Callithrix jacchus: one gene and its partners. The protein of the gene in region 1 purifies or fractionates together with the protein of each later gene. This does not show direct contact. Links are inferred from orthologs where the notes say so. Each region holds a gene or a part of one and is shown on either strand. Other genes may lie near its edges. The genes, in order: KIF24, CEP97 and CCP110.

Region 1 (4,313 bases):
AGGGAAATCATTTAGGAAGCTACTACATTGAATCGACAAAAAAAAAATGCTGCTGACTTGGAAAAAATGTTCCTTTCATGAGAGTTAATTGGAATAATGTAAATTCACTGCTAACTTCAATGACTGATAAACACTCAACAATATACTATTATTATTAGTGTATACCGATAGAAAACTCTTCTTATTCAACACGATGTGAACATCAAAACCCTTAAGACAGTAGCTTGAGAAGTATACAATGACCACACACTCAAAGTTTAAGAAGTTGAACTCTTATTATTTATTTAACAAAATTTATTGAGGATCTATACCATTCAAATTATAAACTGGTTTGCTGAGCCAGCATGGGGGAATGGGATTAATAGATTAATCTTCATAGAACACTAGATCTGGTAGGGATCTAGAAGAGTTCAGCCCATCACTTTGCAAACAACAAAATAGCAGCCCAGAGAAAGACACTGGTTTCTCCTAAACTACAAAGTGAGAAAATCATACCCTCGGTTGCCCCAAGGACACATTTTGAATAGCTAAAGATTTTCATTAACAATATAAAACCAGCTGGGCACAGTGGCTCATGCCTGTAATCCCAGCACTTTCAGAGGCTGAGGCGGGTGGATCATGACCAACCTGACTAAGACAGTGAAATCCCGTCTCTACTAAAAATACAAAAATTAGCCAGGTGTGGTGGCAGGTGCCTGTAATCCCAGCTACCCTGGGGGCTGAACCAGGAGAATCACTTGAACCTAGGAGGCAGAGGTTGCAGTGAGCCGCTATCACCCACTGCACTCCAGCCTGGGCGACAGAATAAAACTCTGTCTTGAAAAACAAACAAACAAAACACCATAAAACCAAAAGTTTTAAATAAAATGCTATCTCAGTATGTTAATGTGCTATACTAAGAAAAATGTAACATGTATATAAAGCCCTTGATACAGTGCTTCGTATGGGGTAAACGCTCAATAAATGGCAACTACTACTTTCAGCTGCTTTAAAAAAGACTGTATGGTCTTTGGAAGGCTTACAGCGTGTGGTCCACCTGACATCAACTACTTGACTTAATAGTAGAGCCACAAGAATTTTAATCTAATTCAATTATTTGATTTTCCAGATGGAAAAAGTGAGGTTTAAAGGGGCTCCTTGAATTCAGGAGTTCAAGGCTGTGGTGAGCTATGCTCATGTTACTGCACTACAGCCTGGGTGACAGAGCAAGACCTTGTCTCTAAAAAATAAATAATAAATAATAACAATAATAAAGGAACGAAATGACTTGCAAAGCCACCCACAGTGAATTAGTTAAGAGACAGAGCCAAAGCCAAACCCTAAATTTCCAGTCTGGTTTCCACTACATGTCACAGATCTGCAGTTTAGCTATAAGGTAGTGTTTCAAACTTTCATAAAATGGTAACAAGAACATAGCTGCTGTACTTAACTTTCTCACTCCTTTTATTAAAACTGCCAGTGAGCTATGAATTTGATATAAGGAAGAATCCCACCAACAGTCAAGCTCTGAATATATAATCCATGAGTTAACAACCAAGCAGCAATTCTATCATGGACACCTGATGAATAGATGGGCACCTGAGCAGCTGTTATATGCGCTTAAATAGACTACAAAGCCTCTCTACTTGTAGAATATAAATACAAAGAAGATGCTTTAAAACATTTTCCAAAGCACATTTAAAATGTGCTGCCGGTCACTAAGAGGCTAAAGTGAGATAAATTCTCTTGGCATACAGCAACAGAATGGTTTGTTTTAAGCAAAGACTAAAAGGAGTCTAATAAAATTATTGGGAGACCAAGGCTAAAAGCCACAAATGCAGGAAAAGTTGTAGCAACCAATCCAAAAAAGTTTAGCCTCTCACAAAGAGTAGAAAGGCCAACTGTGGACGGTGGACTTTTAGGTCCTTTTGCATATAAAATTAGGTTGCCCTCCCCCTCCCCTTGAAATAAAAAAATCGTCTCTGAAGGGGAGAGACAACGAGACAGGGCACGAAGAGGAATCCAGTCTGTTTCTTGTAAATTAAATTCAACTCAACAAATACTTCCTGAAAACCTACTATGTGCAAGACATCGTGAACGATGCTTGCCTTACCTCAAAGCCTTCAAAACTGTATGAGATAAGGGAAGAGAATGTGCTTCCCGGAAGTACACACTTCCGAATAGAAGCACATTCTCCAAGGCCGAATAGAAGCGCCTTAGAGAGGTGCCGGTCAAGGTTATGAGTTCAAAAGCAAGAGGACTCTGGGACTCAAGAATTTCGAGTCTTCCAAAGTGAGAGAAGTGGCGTTTAAGATGAATGCTAAAGAAAAGGCAGAGATATGGGGCTGAAAGGTAGGAGAGTAGGTGAACTTTCGTAAGAACCAAGAGAGGCCAACTCCCTGTTCCGTCACAACTGCGTTTCCTCCCGCGCTCAGCGGACTTCACGCGCACCCCGCGCGGGCCGGCGCCGCGGCTCCGGACCAGGCCTGCCCCTCCTCTATTCTCTCCGCCCTTTCTCACCTCGGTCCAAACTCTTCGATCGGCCCTGTCTGAGAATGCCGTCGGGAGTAAGCCCCAAGGCCCGCAACCTAACAGGTCTGTTAAGCAGCTAGCCACCACCTGCGGCCAGGCCGCATCTCCATGGCAACGCCGCCAAGCACCAGTTCGAACGCCCGCGCTAGGGCCTGCGCGTCTGCAGTCCCGAACCGCCCACCAATGGGCATCCAAAGAATCGGTTAGCGTTCCTGGACTTTTCCTCTAAAAGACCAATCAGAGGACCTAAGAAACAGTAGGCGTAACTCTCAATTTCCGACCTTCGGCCAATCGTTCCACTTGAGTGAAGATCTCGCGACGTTCTCAGTGTGAGACGGCACCTTTAAGGCAGGCCGAAGATCCTTCTCCCAAATTCTATTGGTGGTCCCAAGCGTAACCGAGCTCTTCTGATTGGCGAGTGTACTTCCAGTTTCCTTTCAAGGCCCGCCTCCAGCCTCCGTCTGCTTCGGGTAAGTAGCCTTTGGGCCCACTTGAATTTAGTTTTCAGTGGAGGAAATGATCCTCGGAGCGATGAGAATCTGCCTCTGGCAAACCTCCGGTCGCTGCAGGGCCTGAGGTGGATGCGCCCTCCTCCAAGCTGGCAGTGAGGTGTGGGCAGGCCAGGTCCCATCCGCTCGCAGGACCTCAATTTTTTTGACTGCACCGGGAGAAGGGAGGTTCCCTAACCTTGTGAGCCTTGCTTGCCCGGGTCCGAGTGGGTATGAGGTAGGTTATCCGAATCCCAGAGGCGAGAGAGGTGCAAATTTAGGGCCCAGACGCCGGGGCGCCGAACCTTCCCCTCCCTGGGCCTCAATTTCACTTTGTTGTTACCCATTAAAACCCGCCTGCTTTCCAAAAGAGATTTTATGTCTTCTAATTGCTTCAATTATTGAATGGATAATATCGTGCCAGTTATCGCAGAAGTAAAGAAGGTCTCACGAGAGCCCCACCTCCTTAAAAAAAAAGTGGCAGCTTAAACTGAATGCAATCAAATTGTCAAATGTAAAAGGTTATTATTATAAAGTCGAGGTTAAGATCATTGATGTTAGAAGTCAGGCCGACCTACATTTGAGTCACTACCCAGATATCTCTGAGCCATAGTTCCCTTTCTATTCTTCTGAAAAATGGCAGTAATGCCTCAGCGGGTTGTTGTGAAGATTTTTTTTTTTTGAGTCGGAGTTTCCCTCTGTCACCCAGGCTGGAGTTCAGTGGCGCGATCTCGGCTTGAACCCGCCTCCCGGGTTCAAGCGATTCTCCTGCCTTAGCCTCCCAAGTAGCTGGGATTACAGGCACAGGCCACCACGCCTGGCTAATTTTTGTGTTTAGTAGAGATGGAGTTTCACCATGTTGGTAAGGCTGGTCTTGAACTCCAGACCTCGTGATCCACCCGCCTCGGCCTCCCAAAGTGGTAGGATTGCAGGCATGAACCACCGCGCCCGGCCCTGTTGTGAAGATTAAGTGAAATAATGAAGGTAACACACTTGACCCACGCCTGGCAAGTAGTAACTTCTCAAAAAATGACAGCAATTTTCCTTATAATAAATAAGAGCAGGCAAATATAGTCAGTGGGTTGGTGTACTTATTGTAATTGAGTACCCAAATTTGCTCAAAATTAGTTAAGGGAAAAAAGGCAATTCTTACCAATAAGGAAACATCCATTCTTAAGATTAATTATTTTTCTAGTTTCTATATTAAAAGGAATTTATGCTGCTTGACCTTATAAGGATTTTTTTTTTTTTTTTTGAGATGGAGTTTTGCTCTTGTTACCCAGGCTGGAGTGCAACGGCGCGATCTCGGCTTAC
Region 2 (3,651 bases), on another chromosome or scaffold:
CCTTTTTTTTTTTTTTAACTTGAGACACCAGAGTCTTGCTGTCACCCAGGCTTGAGTGCAGTGGTGCAATCATGGCTTACTGCAGCCTCAGCCTCCTGGTCCCAAGCGATCCTCCTACCTCAGCACTCCCTAGTAGCTGGGACTACAGGTGCACCCCATCATGCCTGGCTAATTTTTTGATTTTTAGTAGGGAAAAGGTCTCACTAATGTTGCCCAGGCTGGTCTCAAACTCCTGGGCTCAAGCGGTCTTCCCTCCTTGGCCTCCCGCAATGCTGGGATTATAGGCAAGAGCCACCACATGTGGCCTCTATTTTGATATTTTAAAAGAAACTGAACAAGTATGTTAGAAATTGCTCAGTGTCTCATAACGTAAATCTCATAGCATGCCTAGTTGCCATGCCAACAATGTGTTTTAAGGCAAATCTTTAAAGTATCTGGGGCTTAGGATGCTGGTACGGAAACAGAGAGTTGGACCAGAAGAACATCAAGGACCCTTCTAGCATTAACAGTCTCTGATTTGTGTGATGAGAAATATAATAAAGTAGATTCTTTTATTCTTACATTTGCCATTTTGGTGTTGTCACAATAGGCCAATTTATTTGTAATCTTTTTATTTGTAATTCATACTGTTTTTACTTTCAAGACCCTGCTTTTACATGGAAACATCATCACCTCTCTTAGAATGGCACCTGCTTACCTACCCAGAAGTCTTGCTATACTTTCTTTGGCAGAAAATGAAATCCGAGACTTAAATGAGGTAAAATTTGAGGGTATTTTGTGAGATTCAGGAAGCTGGAAAGTCCAGGAAAGACACTGGAGAGGGTTGTGAGCTTGCTTTTAGATTGTGAACAGCTTAGAAGAAAGTTCCCTTCAGATGAAGTGTTTGCCTCTAGATGATCGTTAGTTTTCTTTCCACTTTTCCTTAGTGTCAGTGGGTCATTAAGATCTAATTTCCTTTGGAAAGTTGTAATTATCATTCCATTGGGAAGTGATTGGTGGTAGAGGGACATCTGCCTCATAAGGGTTTATACGACTCCCTGTCCAACTTTCCTGGCTGCTGTGATGTTTTCAAAATAGGGTTCTTTCTGCTAGGAAACTGTGCTGATACTTGCTAAGGGATTTTGTGCAGCAGGGACGGATGGCTATATTGTTGAAATTTTGGAAGTCAGTGGGTACTTGTGACTTTTCAGAACAAGAGGGAAATTATCACATTCTCAAATGCTGCCAAAGATGTGTAATCAGTGGAAAGCTTGCGCTTGACACTGAATAGTCCTTTTGTTCAACAAAGTTATCTTTTGTTCCAGATCTCTTTTCTGGCATCCTTAACTGAATTGGAGCAGTTGTCGATTATGAACAATCCTTGTGTGATGGCAGCACCTTCCATCCCAGGATTTGACTATCGGCCGTACATCGTCAGCTGGTGCTTAAACCTCAGAGTCCTAGATGGATATGTGATTTCTCAGAAGGAAAGGTGAACATGCCCTCTTTAACAACATGACAAATGTTACTGAAAGACCATTTCTAGTTTACTACAGATTAATAGAGTAGTATTTCTTCATATGTGCATTTAGAAATTAAGAGTATTACTGTAGTCATATAGCAGACTATGTGCTGGTCACTTAGGATTTTCTGTCATTTCTAAAAAAGGATAAGAAATCAATATTGGCCCGGTGCAGTGGCTCATGCTTGTAATCCTCACGCTTTAGAAAGCCGAGGCAGGAGGATCGCTTGAGCCCAGGAGTTTGAGACCAGCCTGGGCAATACAGGGAGACTGCATCTCTAAAAAAAAAAAATAATAATTAGCTGGGCATGGTGGTACACATCTGTAGTCCTAGCTACTTAGGAAGCTGAGGTGGGAGGATTGCTTGAGCCCAGGAATTTAAAGTTGCAGTGAGTTATGGTTGTGCCATTGCACTCTACCTTGGGTGACAGACAGATACTCTATCTCTGACAAAAAAAAGAAAAGAAATCTTAGCCCCGGAGGTTGGAGCTAGTAGTCTTAGTGCCCTACATACAACAATTTGATTTCTAAAAGTTCTTTTGTTAATCAGTTGTTTGGAGCTTGGAACACTTTTGCATAGAAACCATCATGTTTTAGAACCTATGTAGGGTCTCAGATCATTGTCACAAAAGCTGTGATCTATTAATCTACCAGGGCCGTATTTTTATTCATTTTATTTTCTATTTATCATCTAACGCCAAGTCACATAGGGCAGTATTAGTCATATCTTCGAATTCTCCAAATACTCATTATAATGGTAATTCTGGGAAAATGCAGAGTTTTAATTTGGAACTGGTAGCATACATGGTGATTGGTCCTCTCCCCTGCTTTTTTTTTTTGAGATGGAGTTTCGCTCTTGTTGCCCAGGCAGTTGTGCCATTGGAGTACAATGGCACAGTCTTGGCTCACCACAATCTCCACCTCCTGGGTTCAAGTGATTCTCCTGCCTCAGCCTCCTGAGTAGCTGGGATTACAGGTATGCACCACCAGGCCTGGCTAATTTTGTATTTTTAGTAGAGATGGGTTTCTTCATGTTAGTCAGGCTGGTCTCCGAACTCCTGCCCTCAGGTGGTCTGCCTGCCTTGGCATCCCAAAGTGCTGGGATTATAGGCATGAGCCACCGCACCTGGCCAGGTCCTCCCCTTCTTATACCTGTGAAGTGGCAGAAGTGAGAATTCCCGATCTGTAGATCATTGATAGTTTCTGTGGCTTGGATCTGGGACTCCTGCAGAATGGAGTCTTCTGGATCCTGACACATGATCAGTGGAATCAGAGCTTCAGGGGAGGTAAGGAACTAGGATATGGGAAAGATGGAGTGGAATTGGGATAGTGAGAGTTGAGATTACTTTATTCTCTCTACTATGTTTCATTTCACTTTTTCCTCTCAGTACATTCACGCATGCATTCATGGACTCAACACATACATACTCCCTCACCATTTTTGTTCTTCTCTACTATGGACTATAGTTATTTGAAGAGTTTCCTGATGGGAGGATGGGTTGTAGATTACAGACAGCATCTCTATTCTCTGTCTCTCTGCCGTTTTGCTTAGTTTCTGAGTAAAGCAGGGGCTGTGAGGAATGGCAGCCAGGTGCTAGATTGTGGTGGTGCTGGTGTAGGGTGAGGGACATGTCAGGTCTAGTTTGCCTACAAGAAAGGGTGGCTTTTTCTTTTTTCTGCTGTGAGTGTTGCTCTGAGAGTAAACCTTACTTTGTTTCAAACTGTGACTAGTTCTCGATCTGGAATATAGGTCTACTTGGATTATCCTCTCCACAGTTGTTGACTTTTTCTATGGGAGTAGGACTGGCAACATTTTCATGTCTGAGAGGCAGCATGGTGATGTGGGCAGAGATAAAGGTTTGATGTGAAGAGAGACCCACAAAGAGAGGTGAGACCTGGTTAGGAGAGACAAGGGAAGGCTTCACTTCTTTCTCTGCTACCTGTTAGCTTTGTGGCCTTGTCAGGTTCCTTAGTGCTTTCTGAGCCAGTTTCCTCATCTGTAAAATGTGAATAGCAGTACTATCTAGCTTTCATGGATGTTAGGATTAAGGATGATGTATAGAACATAGAACTGGTCATATAGTAGGTGATTAATAAATGATAATTATATAAGGATAGAGACTAAAGGTCAAAGAGTTTGTTGAAACTAA
Region 3 (3,651 bases), on another chromosome or scaffold:
TGAAAGTATCTCACTTATTCGCTTTCATGGAGCAGCTATCCTTTCTCCACTGGTAAACTTTGTTTGTTTTTAAATAGTTTTTTTTCTGTAGTGAACAAGTAAAGCATTTTGTGAAAAAAACAAAAGAAAGGCTTGTAAACATTTGAAGAGATGCCCTTATTCATAATTAGAGAAATAAAAATAAATTAGCATTTTTTACTTACTATTGTAGATTGGCAAAGAGCTAATAGAACCTTGTGTTCCTTAGATTGTGGAAAATGCACTTTTAATGCACTTTTGCTGAGAGAAACTGTTTATTTTTAGGTGAGCAGTTTGGTAGAATCTAAAAGCATACATAGCCTTTGACTCAGTAGTTCCATGGTATATCCTATGTGTGAGCCCAAAGAAATAAGTACAAGATTACATTAGCATTGTTTAAAATAACAAAGGTTGACAAACAACTTAAATGTCCATCAGTAGTGAAGTAGTTTAACTGTGGTCCATTTTATAAAATCTCATACATACCATTAGAGTGAGTAAGGAGATCTAAATGTTGAGACATGGAAGGATCTCCATGATCTAGTGTAAAACACTGTGCAGCATGCTGTTGGGGCAGCATAGAGTAATAGAGCTCCAGGCTTTGGGCCAGGCACAGTTGCTCATACCTGTAGTCCCAATGCTTTGAGAGGCTGGAGGGAGGAGGATTGCTTGAGACCAGGAATTTAAGACTAGCCTGGTCAACATAGCAAGACCTCAGCACTACAAAAACAATTATTTAAAAAAAATTAGCCAAGCGCAGTGACATGTGCCTGTAGTCCCAGCTACTTGAAAGCTAAGGTGGAAGGATTGCTTGAACCTAGGACTTCCAGGTTGCCATGAGCCAGGACTGCATCACTGCACTCTAGCCTGGGCTACAGGGCAAGACCTGGTCCTGAAAGAAGGAAAAAAAGCCTAGGCTCTGGAACCTTCTGGCCTGGGTCTAAATCATTGTTTTGCTACTTACTTGCTATGTAAACTTGTGGTCCATTTTCTTATTTGTTAAATGGAGATAAAATCGTGCCTACCTAATAAGTCTGTTTTGGAGATGAAATGAATTTGTAGATACAAAATGGTTAGAATACTACCTGGATCATAAGAGGTACCCAATATAAGTTAATCATTTGGGTGTTTTAAAAGATGGCTATTCCTTTTCCAGGGAGTGGTGAGAGAATATAGTAGGGAAGACACTTCATCATATACCCTTTAATACTAATTTAATATTTTAAAATGGTACATGATTTTATTTTAAATTACAAACTAATATTAGAAAAAAATAAGCTTTAAATTTATTTTTTGGTATAATAGGAGTTAAGAGATAATTTTATTTTAATTAATTTAATTGAATTTTTGAAGAGGCCAGAGCTAACTGCCAGCATAGCAAAGTTGAAAGGATATGCAATGACCACCCATAGATTTACCATTTGATTAAATAATTTTTAACATTTTTGTCATCTTTGCTTTATTGTTTGTGATTTTTATATACACGTATGTGTGTGTGTACATACATACATACAGACATTTTTCAAAATTGCCTAGCCATTTGAAAACCACTGAGACCTGACGCGGCTTCCCTAAATATTTTGATATACACTTAAAAATAAGGACATTTTTCTATTAAAACCTAATACCATTATCACATCTTAGGAAAATTAATAATTTTTAATAACATCTAATAATTCTGTTCATATTTAAAATTTTCCATTTGTGCTTAAAATGCCTTTTATAACTTTATTCCCCCAATCTGGATCTAAAGTTCACGATTAGTATTTGCTTGTTATGTTTTTTTATTTTAATCTAGAACAGCTCCTCTACATCTTAAACATAATATTTTTTATTGGCTAGGCATGGTGCTTCATGCCTGTAATCCCAGCACTTTGGGAGGCCAAGGCAGGCAGATCCCAAGGTCAAGAGCTCGAGACCATCCTAGCCAACATGGTGAAACCCTGTCTCTACTAAAAATATGAAACTTAACTGGGCGTGGTGGCATGCACCTGTAATCCCAGCTACTTGGGAGGCTGAGGCAGGAGAATCGCTTGAACCCAGATGGCGGAGGTTGCAGTGAGCCAAGATTGCATCACTGCATTCCAGCTTGGCAACAGAGTGAGACTGTCTCAAAAAAAAAAAGGAATTCTTTGGAGATGATGCCCTGTATCCTTTGTATTAAATTAAATCAGAAGTTACGTAATGTTTGGTTGTCCTCTATTAGTGATGTTTAGTTTGAACACTTGCTTACAGTAGTGACTACCAGATGGCTCTTTAAAGTACACATTTTCTCCTTTTGATTAGCAAGTAAACTGTGTAATTAGGAAAAAATTTTAAAACCACATATTTATCAGCTATTTGATAACATTGCTTAATGTTATCAAATGGACCAAATGTCTGAGGCTTGTTGTATAGGGTCTATGACTCCATCTGTTATTTATTTATAAGCAAAATATGATGTTTATGGACCTAATCCATACTTTTATGTTGTATATGATAGATGAATATTGCAACTTTTGAAATAATCTTTTAATGATATATTTTCTATTTGTGTAAGTCTACGATAAATCTTGACTCTTAACGCAGTGACCCAATTTCCCAGGACTTAATAATTAAGATTGAAATCCATTATAAAAAGATACAATGCTTAGAAGCCTTCATTTTTTTAGGTACATTAAATTTTTATTGGAAGGTAGAGATAAAAGAAAAGATGTATTCTGATTTTGTAGGCAAATAATATATTATCTGTTTCTTTTATCATTAAACCTTTGGACATTTTTTTTTTTTTGAGGCAGCAAAGAGGTAAAATGTGTACTGGTTAGAAAATTAGAACTTGTAGAATTCATTTGACCTAGTGAAGTACTTAATGTGAAGAAATATTCAAGTCAATATTCAAATGAAGTAATGAAAAACTCAGCAGTGGCCGAAAGGGCTTTAATTGTATTTCTGTCATTTTAGAACATTTGATCAGTGAACAAACTTTTTTGCTTTTTAATTTTTTTTCAATTCAAAATAATTTACATATAGCAAAATGCACAGATCTTAAGTGTTAAAGTTCCCTGAGTTTTTATATATGGCATACACCTGTATAACTCAAACTCACACAGGATATTTTCTTCACCATGGAAAGATCTCTAATGCCCCATCCCACTCAGAAGCCCAACCACTGTTCTTATTTCTTTCACTATAGATTAGTTTTGCCTGTTGCACATGTTTTTAATCTTTCTGATTCAGAACTTCCCGATTTTATGATATTTTTATTATGGGAAATAATTACATTTTTATGATGTTTTGCAGCTTAACATTGAAAAAAGAAAGGAAATGCAACAAGAAAAGCAGAAAGCACTTGATATAGAAGCAAGAAAGCAGGTTAACAGGAAGAAAGCTTTACTGACTCGTGTCCAGGAGATTCTTGACAATGTTCAGGTGTGTGATTTAAAGAAATCATAAGATAAGTATTGATGATAATTTTTCAGAAATATCAGTTGTACTTAACTAATTATTAATGTACTTGACTGTTATGTTTGAGAAGCTTCATAATTTGTGATTTTCCATTTCAGTTACTCCAAAGAGTAAGTACTTGCTTGTTAGTGATGCCCAGTACTTGAATCAGAGGATACTTACACAATGGAGCCATATACTGAATATAAT

What was found.
Region 2: the proteins of KIF24 (region 1) and CEP97 purify together in Homo sapiens (co-immunoprecipitation; 4 studies listed by BioGRID and IntAct, with this or other methods). This does not show direct contact. The link is inferred for Callithrix jacchus from reciprocal best matches to the Homo sapiens genes KIF24 and CEP97.
Region 3: the proteins of KIF24 (region 1) and CCP110 purify together in Homo sapiens (co-immunoprecipitation; 4 studies listed by BioGRID and IntAct, with this or other methods). This does not show direct contact. The link is inferred for Callithrix jacchus from reciprocal best matches to the Homo sapiens genes KIF24 and CCP110.

The regions. Positions count from the first base shown.
Region 1 is NC_133502.1:141,211,554-141,215,866, forward strand, and holds the start of KIF24 (kinesin-like protein KIF24), read right to left. Parts: upstream 2,829-4,313; 5' UTR 2,500-2,828; intron 1-2,499. UniProt on the Homo sapiens protein: Microtubule-dependent motor protein that acts as a negative regulator of ciliogenesis by mediating recruitment of CCP110 to mother centriole in cycling cells, leading to restrict nucleation of cilia at centrioles.
Region 2 is NC_133516.1:92,972,354-92,976,004, forward strand, and holds part of CEP97 (centrosomal protein of 97 kDa), read left to right. Parts: intron 1-643; coding exon 644-757; intron 758-1,304; coding exon 1,305-1,471; intron 1,472-3,651. UniProt on the Homo sapiens protein: Acts as a key negative regulator of ciliogenesis in collaboration with CCP110 by capping the mother centriole thereby preventing cilia formation. Required for recruitment of CCP110 to the centrosome.
Region 3 is NC_133513.1:20,939,928-20,943,578, forward strand, and holds part of CCP110 (centriolar coiled-coil protein of 110 kDa), read left to right. Parts: coding exon 1-52; intron 53-3,297; coding exon 3,298-3,426; intron 3,427-3,651.